Cricetulus griseus: one gene and its partner. The protein of the gene in region 2 interacts with the protein of the main gene of each other region in a pairwise test. Links are inferred from orthologs where the notes say so. Each region holds a gene or a part of one and is shown on either strand. Other genes may lie near its edges.

What was found. The genes of interacting proteins can lie anywhere in the genome.
Region 1: the proteins of Cdk5rap3 (region 2) and Tspyl4 interact in binary tests that used the Homo sapiens proteins (3 or more experiments, as listed by UniProt). The two-hybrid records come from large-scale screens. The link is inferred for Cricetulus griseus from reciprocal best matches to the Homo sapiens genes CDK5RAP3 and TSPYL4.

The regions. Positions count from the first base shown.
Region 1 is NC_048595.1:257,688,206-257,695,323, reverse strand, and holds the start of Tspyl4 (testis-specific Y-encoded-like protein 4), read right to left. Parts: upstream 4,030-7,118; 5' UTR 2,216-4,029; coding exon 986-2,215; 3' UTR 1-985.
Region 2 is NC_048600.1:110,064,156-110,071,273, forward strand, and holds the start of Cdk5rap3 (CDK5 regulatory subunit-associated protein 3), read right to left. Parts: upstream 4,146-7,118; 5' UTR 3,999-4,145; coding exon 3,993-3,998; intron 3,971-3,992; exon of another isoform or gene 3,894-3,970; intron 3,806-3,893; coding exon 3,760-3,805; intron 1,063-3,759; coding exon 931-1,062; intron 681-930; coding exon 580-680; intron 242-579; coding exon 193-241; intron 1-192. UniProt on the Homo sapiens protein: Substrate adapter of E3 ligase complexes mediating ufmylation, the covalent attachment of the ubiquitin-like modifier UFM1 to substrate proteins, and which is involved in various processes, such as ribosome recycling and reticulophagy (also called ER-phagy).

The sequences.
Region 1 (7,118 bases), on a different chromosome or scaffold from region 2:
CTAGGCAGCTTGGACTTAATCAGAGTGGGTGTGGACGAAGGAAGAGGGGGGTTACCTAACAAAGTTGCCTGGATTCGGAATAATTTATTGGCTAGGGCTCAGAAGAAACTAACTGCTAGAAGGGAGCCACTCCAGTTTGCCTTGGGCACTGCCACATGTGACTACACATCCTGCCCAATAGCCAACTGAGTCGTGAGCAATGCTACATACTGTAAGTGATCCTGTGTGCTGCCTAGGAGCTTAGGTCATTAGTTCCTGAGGAACAGTGTTGGCCTGTGCAAAGCTCAACCAGAAGAGAACTGGTGGGCAATTGCACAGGTCTTCATACTCACCAGTAGCTGATCACGATGCACAGTAACCAAAGGTACAAGACCAATGTGGAAACATAAAACACTCCTCGACTGTTACTTCACTCATGACTAGTAGTCACCCACCAGCCTTTATACTAATAACAAGCAGGGCAAAGAGCAAAGGCCCAAGAAGACAGCTAGAATCAGTTGGAATGTCCTGTTGGGCTGACGGCTGGGTTGGGATACAGTTCCATCTTGCAGTGGTGAAAGTCACACTTCATCACAGTACATAGACATCAGGGACACAGTATGAAACCTGGCTAGTTCTTGGTAAGGATGTGTCAAGCTTTCTTGTGGTAGAGAACCACTTTTCAAAACTGGAAGAAGACATGGTCACAGACAGGAACCAAGCCATGCAAAGGAAGGCAGTACACACTACAGCACTGTGAGCTTGGCATAGAAGCAGTTCGGAGGCCATGCACTTGGAACACCATTAACACTATGCAGAATGTCATGATGGCCTAGAGAAAGAAGAGCACAGACTTGGAAGCCACAGTCTTGAAACTACTGGAGACTTAGAAGAACCAAAGGACACAATCCAACAGGAAGAGAAAGCAGACAGAAGGCTGCATGCTGCTAGCCAAGCCGAGGAGATGGTAGGACTCTCCTGCAGGAGCTTCTTGAAAGGGCAGAGTTTAGCCAGACTGGAACCTGAAGGACCTGGGACTCTCCACTGGCTGTCTTGGTGGGACTCGAACTCCTCTGCGTGGCCCATCGCCCATCAGATAGTATTGCAGGGGATTGGACCATAGCTCCCCTTTGATAATTTCAGCTATTCTGTCGAATTCTAGGAGGCTGTGGTCTGAGAACCAATTGAAGAAACTGGGAATCGTGTTCCCCTCACGATTCCTGTGGATATGGGCCTGGGGTTCTTGGCCCCGGTGCCAGCGGATTGGAGTAGAGAGCGACACCACTCGACCGGAGGATCTGCGCTCATATTCCTTGACCAGCCCCTCGTTTCGGAAGTAGGGGTTGCTTTGAAAGATGAACTTAAACTTGCAGCCTGCTCTTGGGTGCTTAAGCTCCTCCACCTCTAAATTGATCATGTATCTCATCATGTCTTCATCTTGGCCACTGATCATTGGTGACAGCTGGGGGTGGTTCCGAAAAGCGGTGACCCAGAAACCTGGGATATTTTGGATGATGAAACTTCGGCGCTGCATGTGCAGCCTTCTCATCCGCCCGAATTTGCGTTCCAGCTGGAGGAAGGCCCTGTCGGCCTGCGCATTTACATTTGACAGCTCTTGATCGATGGCCTCCAGCGAGTCCATGCAATTATTGATCTTCGGGGGCCTAGGACGATTCTCCTCCTTCCCTCCTCCAGCTACCTTTTTTTCTTTCGGTACCCCCTTCTTTTCCGGCATCGCCGCCCCTGCTTCTCCCTCCTTTCCCGCGGGCGCAGAGATGGCGCACTTCGTCGCCATCATTTCCTTGGTCTTCTTCACCCCCGGCATCATCTGAGACCCCAGGCCCACGGCACCACAGGCTTCCAGAGCTTTCGGCCCAGCAGGGCTGCGCGGCCCTCCAAGCTGACAGCCATTTTTATTGCTGTCATCAACTGCCGCAGGGGCTGAGGCTCCATCCCCGCCCTTTGATGGAGACAGAGCATCCTCCAGCCCCTCTCCGGCCGCCTCAGCACCATGATTCTCAGACACTGCAGGGCAAAGCGCAGGTCCGCAGTGCTCGGAATCCGGGGGCGCGCCTCCCTCCGCACCGGCCTCACCTGCAGCCTCCATCGCCCGCGCTGCTGCGTCAGTTTCCTCGCAGAGCCCCTGATCCTGATTCAGATCCAGATCTTCCCGGGCAGGGGCAGGGGTCGTGGTGTTAGTGAGAGGGAGCTCATTGCCCTCATCCAGGCCGCTCATTTTGGAAGATGTCAGCCCTGCAGAGGAGCCTTCCTTGTCCTCTGCAGACGCAGCGCAGCACCGCAGTGAGTGTTTAGCTCCACCCCTTTTCCTTCAGGGCTGCTGCTACCATGGCAACCTGTGACGTCAGAGTAGCAGCTGCGGCTAACTGTAGCGCGAGAATTCGCTACCCAGGTAATTATGCTTGTCAATCAAGTGTATTCTTTTTGTCTTTTTATAAGATGCTGTAAATTTAATCTTCTCTGGGACATTGCGTTCATTTACATAAATGGATGCAGAATTATATTAATGTGTATTCGTAAATCTCTGAATTAATTTCGACAGTACCTAAACGCAATAAATTAAAAAATAGGAGCTATTGTCTAATAAAATCAGATCTCATCGAGCTCCTCAGAAATAGAAAAGCGAATTCACCATCTCATAGGCCTTCCTTATTTGGGACACAGAGTCATGGCGGTTACTGAGGAATTGCGCAGAATCTGATTTTGAAAAGGAAGTGTCGTTACTGTTTCCATTTTCATGCAAACAAGACAGTCAAAAGATACATTTCAATTTCTGTAACCATTTTGATGTTTGTATACATTGACCAACGTTTATGAAGCAATTGGATATTTATTCACTTTTAAACGAATAGTTTAAACTGCTCCTTATTTACAGGTGGCCACACGAATGCCATATGCACAAATTTAGCCCTTAGGTATTTCTGGAGGAAATACAATCTCAGAGGACTTTAATTTCTAAAACGATGCATATTAATGCTCCTTTGTCTTGGGTTATAATCTTAGTTTCTGCTTCATGGATATGAAGCCAACAAACATTTGCCCAAATTTGCTTTTGTAATAGTAGAAACAATTATCACTTTTTTTGACAGCTGAATTATTGTCTCTTTAAAGTAGCTACTTAAAAAAAAAAAGAAAGGTCATGCATTTAAGTCAACTTAGAGAATTTATTTGTAATCACACTGTCTCTTAGTTTGTTAAAATTCTGCATATTTAATGTTTCAATTCCTATTAGAACAAGCTCTTTACATTGGGGGATTAATTGACTCTCCCCCAGAGTATGGTTATGCTCAAATACAACTCTGGAAATAAGAGTTTAAAGAAAAATAGCATTCCCCCAAGAACTCTAGTGAGGAAAGTGGTGGTACTTGGTTCAACTAAGACTGGAAAGTGATGACAAAGTCTCTGGTGAACAATGAACGGAATATCATTCAGTTTGATTTTTTTCTTTTTAATCCAAAGTTAACTGTCCCTACTCAAAGACAGGATATTCAGATTGACCTCTTCCTGCTAGAAAATAAATCAATTGTCCAAATAAAATAAAAATGCGCAAACAAGATTAGTTTCACATACAGTGTGTTTCACCATCGATGGTGTTAGTGTAGATGAATCAGGAAATTATTCTAAATGTGCCATATATTCAAACAGTGTCATTTCTGGCTTCATGTGCAAAGTGCTGTGCATGCCTGAAAACGTCTTGTCAATGGGAAGGCTTAACACTGGGTGATAATTTTATAGAAGGAATGGTCTCAGTGACAAGCATCCCTGAAGTTCCTATAAATGCCCACACACACTTACTGTAATAACCATAATTAGTCCCACAACTAAGAAGTGGTAAACACACATTCTGGTTTTGTTTTTTGTTTGTTTGTTTTAACACTTGTACATAAGCTATTTCCATTCCTGGTCCCTAGCTGGGAGGAATCAGCCTTTAAGATAATATTAAAAATCTGGCTCTAACTTTGGAAATCAGTATGGCAATTCCTCAGGAAAATGGGAATCAGTCTACTACAAGATCCAGCAATTCCACTCTTAGGCATATACACAAAAGATGCACATTCATACAACAAGGACATCTGTTCAACTATGTTCATAGCAGCATTGTTTGTAATAGCCAGAACCTGGAAGCAACCTAGATGCCCCTCAACTGAAGAATGGATACAGAAAATGTGGTACATTTACACAATGGAGTACTACTCAGCAGAAAAAAAAAAACAATGGCATCTTGAAAATTGCAGGCAAATGGATGGAACTAGAAGAAACCATCCTGAGCGAGGTAACCCAGTCACAAAAAGACAAACATGCTATGCACTCTCTGACATATGGATTTTACACATAGAGCAAAGGATTTCCAGCCTATAATCAAAACCACCAGAGAAGCTAGGCAACAAGGAAGACTCTACGAGAGACATACATGTCCTTTCCCGGGGAAGGGGAAAGGGACAAGATCTCCTGAGCAAATTGGGAGCATGGAGGAGGGGAGTGGGAACTAGGAGAATGAGAAAGGGAGAAGAAGAGGGGTGAGGAGGACATAAGGGACCAGGAAGGTTGTATAGGGGGAAGAATAGAGAAGAGCAAAATAAGAGATACCATAAGAGAGGGAGCCATTATATGTTTAAAGAGAAATCAGGCACTAGGGAAATGTCCAGAGATCTACAGGGATGACACCAACTAACAATCTAAGCACCAATGGAGAGACTACCTTAAATGCCCTCTCCTGATAATGAGATTGATAACTAACTTATATGCCATCCAGGAGCTTTATCTAGCAGCTGATGGAAGTAGAGGCAGGCACCCACAGCTTAACACTGAACTGAACTGGAATCCAGTTGCAGAGGAGGATTGATGAGCAAAGGAGTCAAAACCAGGCTGGTGAAACCCACAGAAATAGGTGACCTGAACAAGGGGGAACTCTTGGCCCCCAGACTGATAGCTGGGGAAACAGCATGGAACTGATCCAGACCCCATGAATGTGAGTGTCAGTGAGCAGGCCTTGGAAATCTATGGGGCCCCTTGTAGTAAATCAGTACTTATCCCTAGTATAGGAATGGACTTTGGGAGCCCATTCCACATAGAGGGATACTCCCTCATCCTAGACACACAGGGGAGCCCTGTCCCAAAGGATATGATAGACTCTGAAGATCCCACATGGAAGGCCTCACCCTCCCTGGGGAGCAGAAATGGTATGGGATAGGTAGGGTGTTAGTGGGGGGAAGGGGAGGAGGGGAGGGGATTGACATGTAAAACAATCTTGTTTCTAACTTAAATCAAAAATTTGAGAAAAAATCTAGCTCTAGTTTGTCAGCATTTGACGTAGAATTTTCTCTATTCTGAAGAAAATATTTATGGCAATTTTAGATCATAAGTTCATTGACATAACTGTGGCATGTCTTTTCAGCATAAATTCAGTATTTAAATTCTACTATAAAGGCTAAACTATATAGTCCTTATTCTACTTAACCTATAACTATTAAAATTTTTTCTTAGACTTTTGTATTTATGATAGTTCCCTGTGATATTTTCCATTAAAAATAATAAAACAAAACTCATGTGCCCTTGCTTTCTCCAATGCATAGAAAGAAAGAAAGAAAGAAAGAAAGAAAGAAAGAAAGAAAGAAAGAAAGAATGAAAGAGAAAAAGACCTGACTGGATGACCTCCCTCTCACACCTGGATTGGTTATGCAAATACACTCTGTTATTTTGATTTTTTTAATTGTTATTTCGGTGGTAGTGGTCGCACTGGGATTTGAACTCAGGACCACAAGTAAGTGAGACAAGCTCTCTACCACTGCGCCAGGACCCCAGTCCAAAACATAAACTGTGGAGTCAAGTCCTAGTTGTGCTGGTTAACAAATTGGTTGGAGTGGGTAAGTTGTTTCACTTGACAAAGCCACAGTACCCTTGTATAAAATGAACAAAATAACATTTACATACAGAACTATCATAAAGAAGGAAAAAGGTACCTGAACTGAGATATGCAAAAGACAACTGGGCCATTTTCGTTATTTTTATACTAAGAATACCTATAGTAAATAGACTATATTGCAGGCAGTACAAATATCAAATTCTATTATACAACAACTACAGGCTATAGCAGTGTATAGAATGAAGAAAATAAGTGAAAACTTGGGAAAGAAAAGAGTTGAGTTTCACCAAGAATGCAAGTTAAATGATCAAAGATTAGAAACCAAAGTACTTAGCCACAATACTCCTTTCTCATTGATTGTTTACCAATGATTCCAGACACGTGTGATTTCTGGCTAATTAGGAAGAAACGGCTTCATTGTTGGAACTAAAATGTTTGTTTGTTTTTTTTGTTGTTTTTTTTTTAACATCGTTCCATGCACTAGCACACAGTGGTACCAACAGTGACATGGGCTTGGGAGAGTTGGCCCAACAGCATGGGTGCAGGAGAGCCAACCCTGCCCCTCGCATGGGTGACACAGGAGAGCTGGCTTCAACTGCTTGGATGTGGGTGAGCTGCCCCCACCTCTTTAACTGACCTACTTGGAAGAGCAGGGCCTGTCCCTCACCTGGGCAGCAAAGCAGGCCTTAGGACCCAGGACAGCTGGCCCCATCTCTTGTTGATGCTACTGGCTGAAAAGATGGTTTTGCCCCTCCTCTGGGCAGTGTGGGAGAACTGGCCTTGGTGGAGACACTGGAGAGCCAGCCCCTATGACATGGCATGGGAGAGCTGGCCCCACCCCTCACCTGGCAGAAGGGGAGCTGGCTCTGGTAGTGTGAATGAGGGAGACCTGGCAGGCTGACCAATTTAACTGCCATCCAGGCCCAGATTCAGAGCTTTGAGCTGGCCCACCCGACATATTCCCCATTGAGGAACTGTTACAGCAAGTAAAGGGACCAGCCCTACCAATCCATAATGTAGGATCATTCCATGCCTCAGTGCTACAGTAGGGTATCTGAGAGTTTCTCTGAGGGTCCAGTATTGATGTTGTAGCAGAAGCCAAAGGCCTTGAACTAGCCTAATGACTAATTGCAATAAATATTTGAAAGAAAAGCTGATTGGGCAAAAGTATATGTGATACATATGTGGTACTTGGCAACTTGGAATGCCACTACAATGAAAAAATGTGTGATGGAGATGCAGGAACTCCAAAATGATG
Region 2 (7,118 bases):
GCTCAGTTGAGCATATAAACATCCACTTCCTGCCTGATCATTCTTCTCCCCCAGCACTTGAGGAACTGTTTCTCACACCTACATACAATCAGGCAACATCTGTACTGCCTTCCATTTCCTTCTATGTGGTGTTTCAGAACCCCAGCAGTGGGCTTCTTCAAGGATGCCAGGGCCACTTTAGGCTCACTTTACCTAAGTAGGTGTTGTCCTTCTCATACAGGCCTATGATCTCCTGCCAATCCTGAGAAGAACAGAGGGGAAAACAGTCAGGGGAGCACTCAGCAGCTCCTCACAGACAATCCCTGCAGAGGAGCTGCCCCAGGCTTCCTAGCATACCAGACACAAACTCCTCGCCTTCCTCCAGCTTTAACGCTGGTTGGAGCACCCACATGATTCAGAGACCATGATATCTAACAGTGGTTCCCAAAGGTCTGGACATGCAAGCCCAGGGGACAGGTCTACTTTGGTATAAACTATAGGGACAAAGAAAGATCAGGAAATATACTATACAGGCATTTGCCTTGTTCATCTGTGAGACTAGATAGGCTGTGGATTGGATGTCCCCAAGGGCACACTTACCTTCATCCGCTGTGAAGAGTACCGGCCGAAAATATTTTTGGTGGAGGCCTCAGTACCTTTAAGAAGGTCCACTATTCTTAGGCAGTGGAAGTAATGAATGTCTAGAAAGCAAGAATGGGGACTTTCAGAATTCTGCCATCCTTCCTTTGGCTATTGCAGGTGGCTGACCCACGTATACTGCTGCCAGTTATTTTAGCATGGAAGAAACCAGCATCTACAAACCAGAAAACAAAACAAAACAATCTCTCTGGCTGGGGTCAGCCCTGGTGGCTCAATAAGGGAATGGCCTGGTAGACACACAGGGCTCCAGGAGGGAGGGGGACTCCAGTGACAAGGCTCCTAATCACTCACAAGACCCAGATAGCAGCTGGGCAATCTCTTGGCTCTCTGGCATGTCCTGGATGGCAGTGTTGATTTTCTCCCGGATGGTCAGCACCAGACTTTGCCATTTTAGGTTGCAGTGTCGTCTGTCCACTAGCCAATCTGCGTGAGAATCAGTTTAGTTGCCACAGCCTGCCACACCTCCAACCCCCCATCAGGAATTCACTAGTTCAAGTGTCACATACTGGATATTGAACAGCAGCTGTTTTTGTATTGGCTAAGGTATCAGAGGGAGAACTGGCAAGATGAAAAGGCAGACAGACTCTGAGAGGTGCTTGGGCTAAACAAGCTCCGGCGCCCTGACTTTATCCCCAGTATAAGTTTTACAGAGCAACTGCCTCAACACAGGGATCAAGAAAAACTTTAAATTGGTCCTGACATGAAAGTGCCACTTTTGACCATTCTAAATTCTCCATAATATTTTGCTTCTGTGGGTAATTATATCTTTCTTGTTGACAGAGGGTGCTGCTCAACTTCCATTTCCTCAGGGCTGGGATTAACCAGGACAATGAAAAACACACGGTGGTTATGCCAAGTACCGGATGAATGAACAACTGCAAAGCCCCTAAGACCTACAGTGCCCCAAGAACTGGATAATGTTAGCTGATGGTTCGTTCGTTCTTTCTTTCTTTCTTTCTTTCTTTCTTTCTTTCTTTCTTTCTTTCTTTCTTTCTTTCTTAGACAAGGTCTCTCTATAGAGCCCTAGCTGTCCTGGAACTCACTATGTAGACCACAATGCCCTTGAACTCACAGAGCCTGCCTCTGCCTCTCCAGTGCTGTGATTAAAGGCGTGTTCCACCACCACCCAGCCTAGTTGCTGGTCTGTTCTTAACAGTGAAGTGCCATGCTGCCATATGACTACCAGTATAACTGACCTGGTTTTGAGGCCTAAGAGTCATGATCATCTCCTAAGGAGAGAACTAAGGTTTTACAGTTAAATGGTCCTGGGGTTGAATTATCAAGTTTATTTAAGATATTTTATTAAAAACTTATAATATTTGGAGCCGGGTGTTGGTGGCGCATGCCTTTAATCCCAGCACTCAGGAGGCAGAGGTAGGTGGATCTCTGTGAATTCGAGGCCAGCCTGGTCTACAAGAGCTAGTTCCAGGATAGGCTCCAAAGCCACAGAGAAACCCTGTCTCGAAAGACAAAAAACAAACAAACAAAATCTTATATTTGTTAATTTATATACACTGTGCATGTTATGTGTGTGTTGGAGCACACATGTGCCACAGCTCACAAGTGGAGGTCAGAGGACAACTTCTGGGAGCCAGTTCTCTCCTTCCACCATGCGGGTCCTGACTGTCAACTCAGATCATCAGGTTTGGCAGTAAAGAACATTTACTACCGAGTCATCTTGCTGGCTCTAAATATCAAGTTCCTCAATCAAGTTTCATCCTCTCTGTGCCTCAGCTTCCCCACACGTAAGATGATGTGCTCAATACTGTGCCTTGTGCATAGCAGTGACTCAGTACATCTTAGTGGTTTCGTTTTAATAAAGACAAGTATACAATGGACTTGGTATGGAGCAAACATTCAGTAAACAGCTTTCTTTCTTTCTTTCTTTCTTTCTTTCTTTCTTTCTTTCTTTTTTTTTTGTTGTTTGTTTGTTTTTCGAGACAGGGTTTCTCTGTGTAGCTTTGGAGCCTATCCTGGCACTCGCTCTGGAGACCAGGCTGGCCTCGAACTCACAGAGATCCGCCTGCCTCTGCCTCCCAAGTGGTCAGTAAACAGTTTTCTACTGGTTCTTTCTCATGAATGGAGATTGAGCTCCAACACCAGGGTGGGTGCATAGTGTGTTCACACACTATGACTATACAGTGGCCCTGGCCTATAACCCCAGCACTTAGCTAAGGCAGAAGCTTCACCAGGACTGAATGTTCCCCTCTCATAGTGGTAAATTTAAAAAGGTGGCCTTGTTGACAAATCTGTCAACTGAGATATTTGTATCTCAAGCTTCAGTAGTATCAGAAATTCTGTTTCTGCTGTGTTCCTTTAAAATTGTCGGAAAGAAAAACGGTAGAGGTCAGAATCACAAGGGGCTGAAGTCGTCAAATACCCTCTTAGGGAAATGATTAACACTGGACTGAGGAATCAGGGAACATTTAAGGTGCCAGGAGCTGTGCACATGTACAGCAGTGACAGAATGAGGGAAATAAACAAGCGACAGAGAGGGCCTGTCTTTAGGATCTCTCCATGCAGTCCTAGCTGTCTTAGATTTGCTATGGAGACCAGGCTGGCCTCTGCCTCCCAAGTGCTGGGACTAAAGGCCGGGTACTGATATTGCTAAGTGTTCCTGGCCAGGCTGGTACTTGCTATGTAAACCAGTCTGTCTGAGAAGTGCCAGCAATCCTCCTGCCTCAGCCTCCTAAGTGTCATGGTTACCAGCATGAGCCACCATCCCTGGTACAAAAGATCTTAGGTTCCTCTTACCCATAAATTCAAAGGGGAATTGAAACTTTAAAAGTAAGTGGGAGGGGTCTTCCCACCCCAAAATAACGCAAAAAGTACGAAGCCAGAACCAAAGAGACCTAGGTCCAAATGGATAGGCCATTTGGTAACTGCCCATCTTTAACGCTAGCCACTTGTCCTGTGTGCCCGAATAGGATTTGATACTACGTTACAAATGTTAAAAGTAGAAAACAAGGAGCCAGTAAAGGCTTTCCATATGCTTCCTTCAAACAAGTCGGGCCACAGTAAGGCACCTCAACCCAGACTTTGACAGCTCCTGGCTGCTGGTGACAGTGGGCAAGTAGCAGGCCTCCCCGACAGCCAACCGCGCGGGGGCGCCTCTCCTACCGAGCAGCTTGCTGGTCTGGATGTCGATGGGCACGTGCTGATGGTCCTGGTGGGAAACACGACAGGTAGGGGGGCGTGAACGCGGGAAGGCACCGTGCCTCGCGCGCGCTCATTGCACACACCCAACCGCCAACCTGCAGGACCAGAGCGCCCGGCTGAGGCCAGGAGGGGCTGAGGAAGCAGGACAGGGGTCCCAGAGCACACCCCAGTTTCTCCAGCCCTGCTCCCCACACCTGCATCCTTTCTCCACTTCCGCTTCCGGCCAAGACCCCGGCCCGGCCCGGCACCAATCCTGAGCCGGCGTGCGGGAGCCCCGCTTCAGAAACAAACCGGCCTCCTTCAGCCACGTCGTCGTCTTCCGCGGAGCCAATCCGAGCCCACGCTCCGCCCCCTGCTGGAATCCCCGCCCACCAAGAGGTTCTGAATGGCTGAGTACCGGATGGGCGGACAGCCAATGGGAGGCGAGAGGCGGGCTCGGGCGCCGTGAGCTTCTGGAAGGGCTGCAGCGCTGGCGCGAAGGCGGTAGGGGGCACCCAAGAGCCGGTGTAGGCGGCTTGTGCCCTGCCGGGCGCAGAGCCCCCTGCTGGAGAACGAACACGTCCGCGGACAGGGTCCTAGCGCCGTCCGGAGGGCTTTTTGAAAGCAGTTGAAATTATTTTCTTCCGGTTCCCGTTACCACCTATAGAAGATCGTAGGCGCTTGTCACGCTTTGTCCTCCCATTTCGTTTATCTGATAGACATGGGTTTTAAGCCCCTGATTCTTGTTGGGAGATTAGGGAAGGGAGAGGACGAGACACTCGCATTGAGAATTAGAGGAAAAGCAGCAGAGGAAGGACGATGTGTGGAAACGGTGTTCCCGGTGGAAGAGACTATCCAAACTTTACAGACCACACACTGCAAGGGGAGTTCAGGGGAAAGACAGGCAGGGGACACTGGCAGCTCATGTGTGGTCGGTCCAACACGAAGTGGAATGTGAGATTCCTTGTTTAAAAAAAAAAAATTATGACCCTTTTCAAGAGGACACTGTGCAGGTGTCCTACCTATGGCTGATCTTAGGCCCACAGTAAATGGTTTAAAGCAGGGAATGACCTGAGAGGAGGTTGTAAAATGTAAGGGTCATATCAAATAAGGAACTTGGACTTCACCCCTGCAGATAAAGAGGAAACACTGAAAGGTTTGGGACAAGGAAGGATGTGCACATATTCATTATAAGGATGGGTTAATGGGAGATAAGACTGGAGACAGAAACTAGAAGAGGCTGAAATGCAGGAGTTTGGGCCTGACCCAGGGCACAGGCTGTGGGGAGGAGACGAGCAGAATTTGAAAGATGTTTAGGAAGAAAATGGACAGGACTTGGCAATAGATTGGCTGAGTGGGTGAGGAGAAAGACACCAAAAGTGACACTCAAACCGTGGTGGTGACCTACACTTTTAATCCCAGCATTTGGGAGGCAGAGACAGGTGGACCTCTGTGAGTTTGAGGCCAGCCTGGTCTACAGAGCTAGTTCCAGGGTTACACAGAGAAACCCTGTCTCAAGCAAAACAAGATGACACTCAGTGTTGGGTGGGAGTGTCACCACTTGAGGCAGAATGCAGGAGGCAGAGCATGTGTTGGAGAGGAGGGGCTTTGAACTTGTGGAGTTAGCATTGTTGGGAAACCATCAAGTGGGAAGTATGCAGAAGGCACCTGGGTCACTGGGTGGTGGTGGTGGTGGTGGTGGTGGTGGTGGTGGCACACACCTTTAATCCCAGCACTCCGGAGGCAGAGGCAGGCAGATCTCTGTGAGTTCGAGACCAGCCTGGTCTACAAGAGCTAGTTCCAGGACAGCCTCCAAAGCCACAGAGAAACCCGGTCTTGTGGAGAGAGGGAGAGAGAGAAAGAGAGAGAGAGAGAGAGAGAGAGAGAGAGAGAGAGAGAGAGAGAGAGAAGACACCTAGGGAGTCTGTATTTAGACTGGAAAGGACAGCTTTTGGAAAGTCATAAACTGAGTTGTTGTCATGGTTCAGTGACAGATTCAGTCAAGGGAGTGATTCAGATTTGGATTAGAAGTGGTAGAGTAAAGAGAGAGGGTGAGATGAAGGTCCCAAGGACCTAACAGATCTGGGGATGGCATTTTCCTGAATGCCATCTTCCTTCTTCACTGTCCCCAAAACAGCACAATACCCAGGACTTAGTAGTTTCTGGACTGAACTACTGGGTGTGATACAGTAGTGGGTAGACCTAGATTCTGGCCCTGTGAGATTTTGGATAGTTTCCACACTTCTCCGATAGCCACAGTTCTTTCAATGTAGAGATAACAGCCTATCTCAGGGTATTTGTTTAGAGGCTTAAATAAATAAACATACTAAAGGTGCAGGACTCAGGATGAGCGGCAGAGCTTAGTTGGTGGAGTGTTTGCCTAAGACACATGAGCTCCTGGATTCTATCCCCAGCACCACGTAGGACCAGAAATGGTGGCACATATCTGTAATCCCAGCACTTGGGAGGCAGAGGCAGGAGGTTCAGACATTCAAGGTCATCCTGGACTACATAGTGATTTTGAGGACATCCAGTCTCAAAACAGAGAGAGAAAAGAAAAGAAAGGAAACATTAGGAGGCTGGAGAGATGGTTCAGCAGGTAAGAGCACTAGCTGCTCTTCTAGAGGACCTGAGTTCAATATCTAGCACCCACACAGCCACCCACAACCATCTGTAACTCCAGTTCCAGGGGAATCTGACACCCTCTTCTGGCCTCCTCCATGAGCATCAGACACATACATGGAACACAGACATACACACAGGCAAAACATTCATACACCTAAAAAACACACACAAAATACTTTTTTAATGTTCAGAACTTTTTACAGTTGACAACACATTATAGATATTCAATCTCATATTTTGTGAATTATACATAAATAAAATATTCTATATAGTCATTATTATTACAGAATAAATCAACAGGCCTCCCTGGAAACAGTCTGCAGGGGGAACTAAGAGTCTCTTCAGGGCTCTCATGGGTGCTTGGCTCCCATCTCAGAATCCTGACTCAGGCATTGCTAGAACTCCCCTATAATAAACAAACACTTACTGGGTTCCAATCTTGTGCTGCAAGTTCCCTGGGACACCCCGAGAAGCCTAGCATTGCCACACCTTCCAAGTGTGTCTCTCCTTGAACCAACAGGCAGGGCACAGCAGGGCAAGGCCAGTCTGGTAAACCCAGCCCTGGTGAGTCGGTGAAACAGAGACCACCAAACCCTTCACCTTCACCCACAGCTCCCAGGATGACTCAAGTGGAACACAGGATGTTTGAGAATAGTTCTGCTTAGCTACGGACCCCCGGGGAAATTATCCCAGAGAGCATAGGCAGGTGGTGTTTT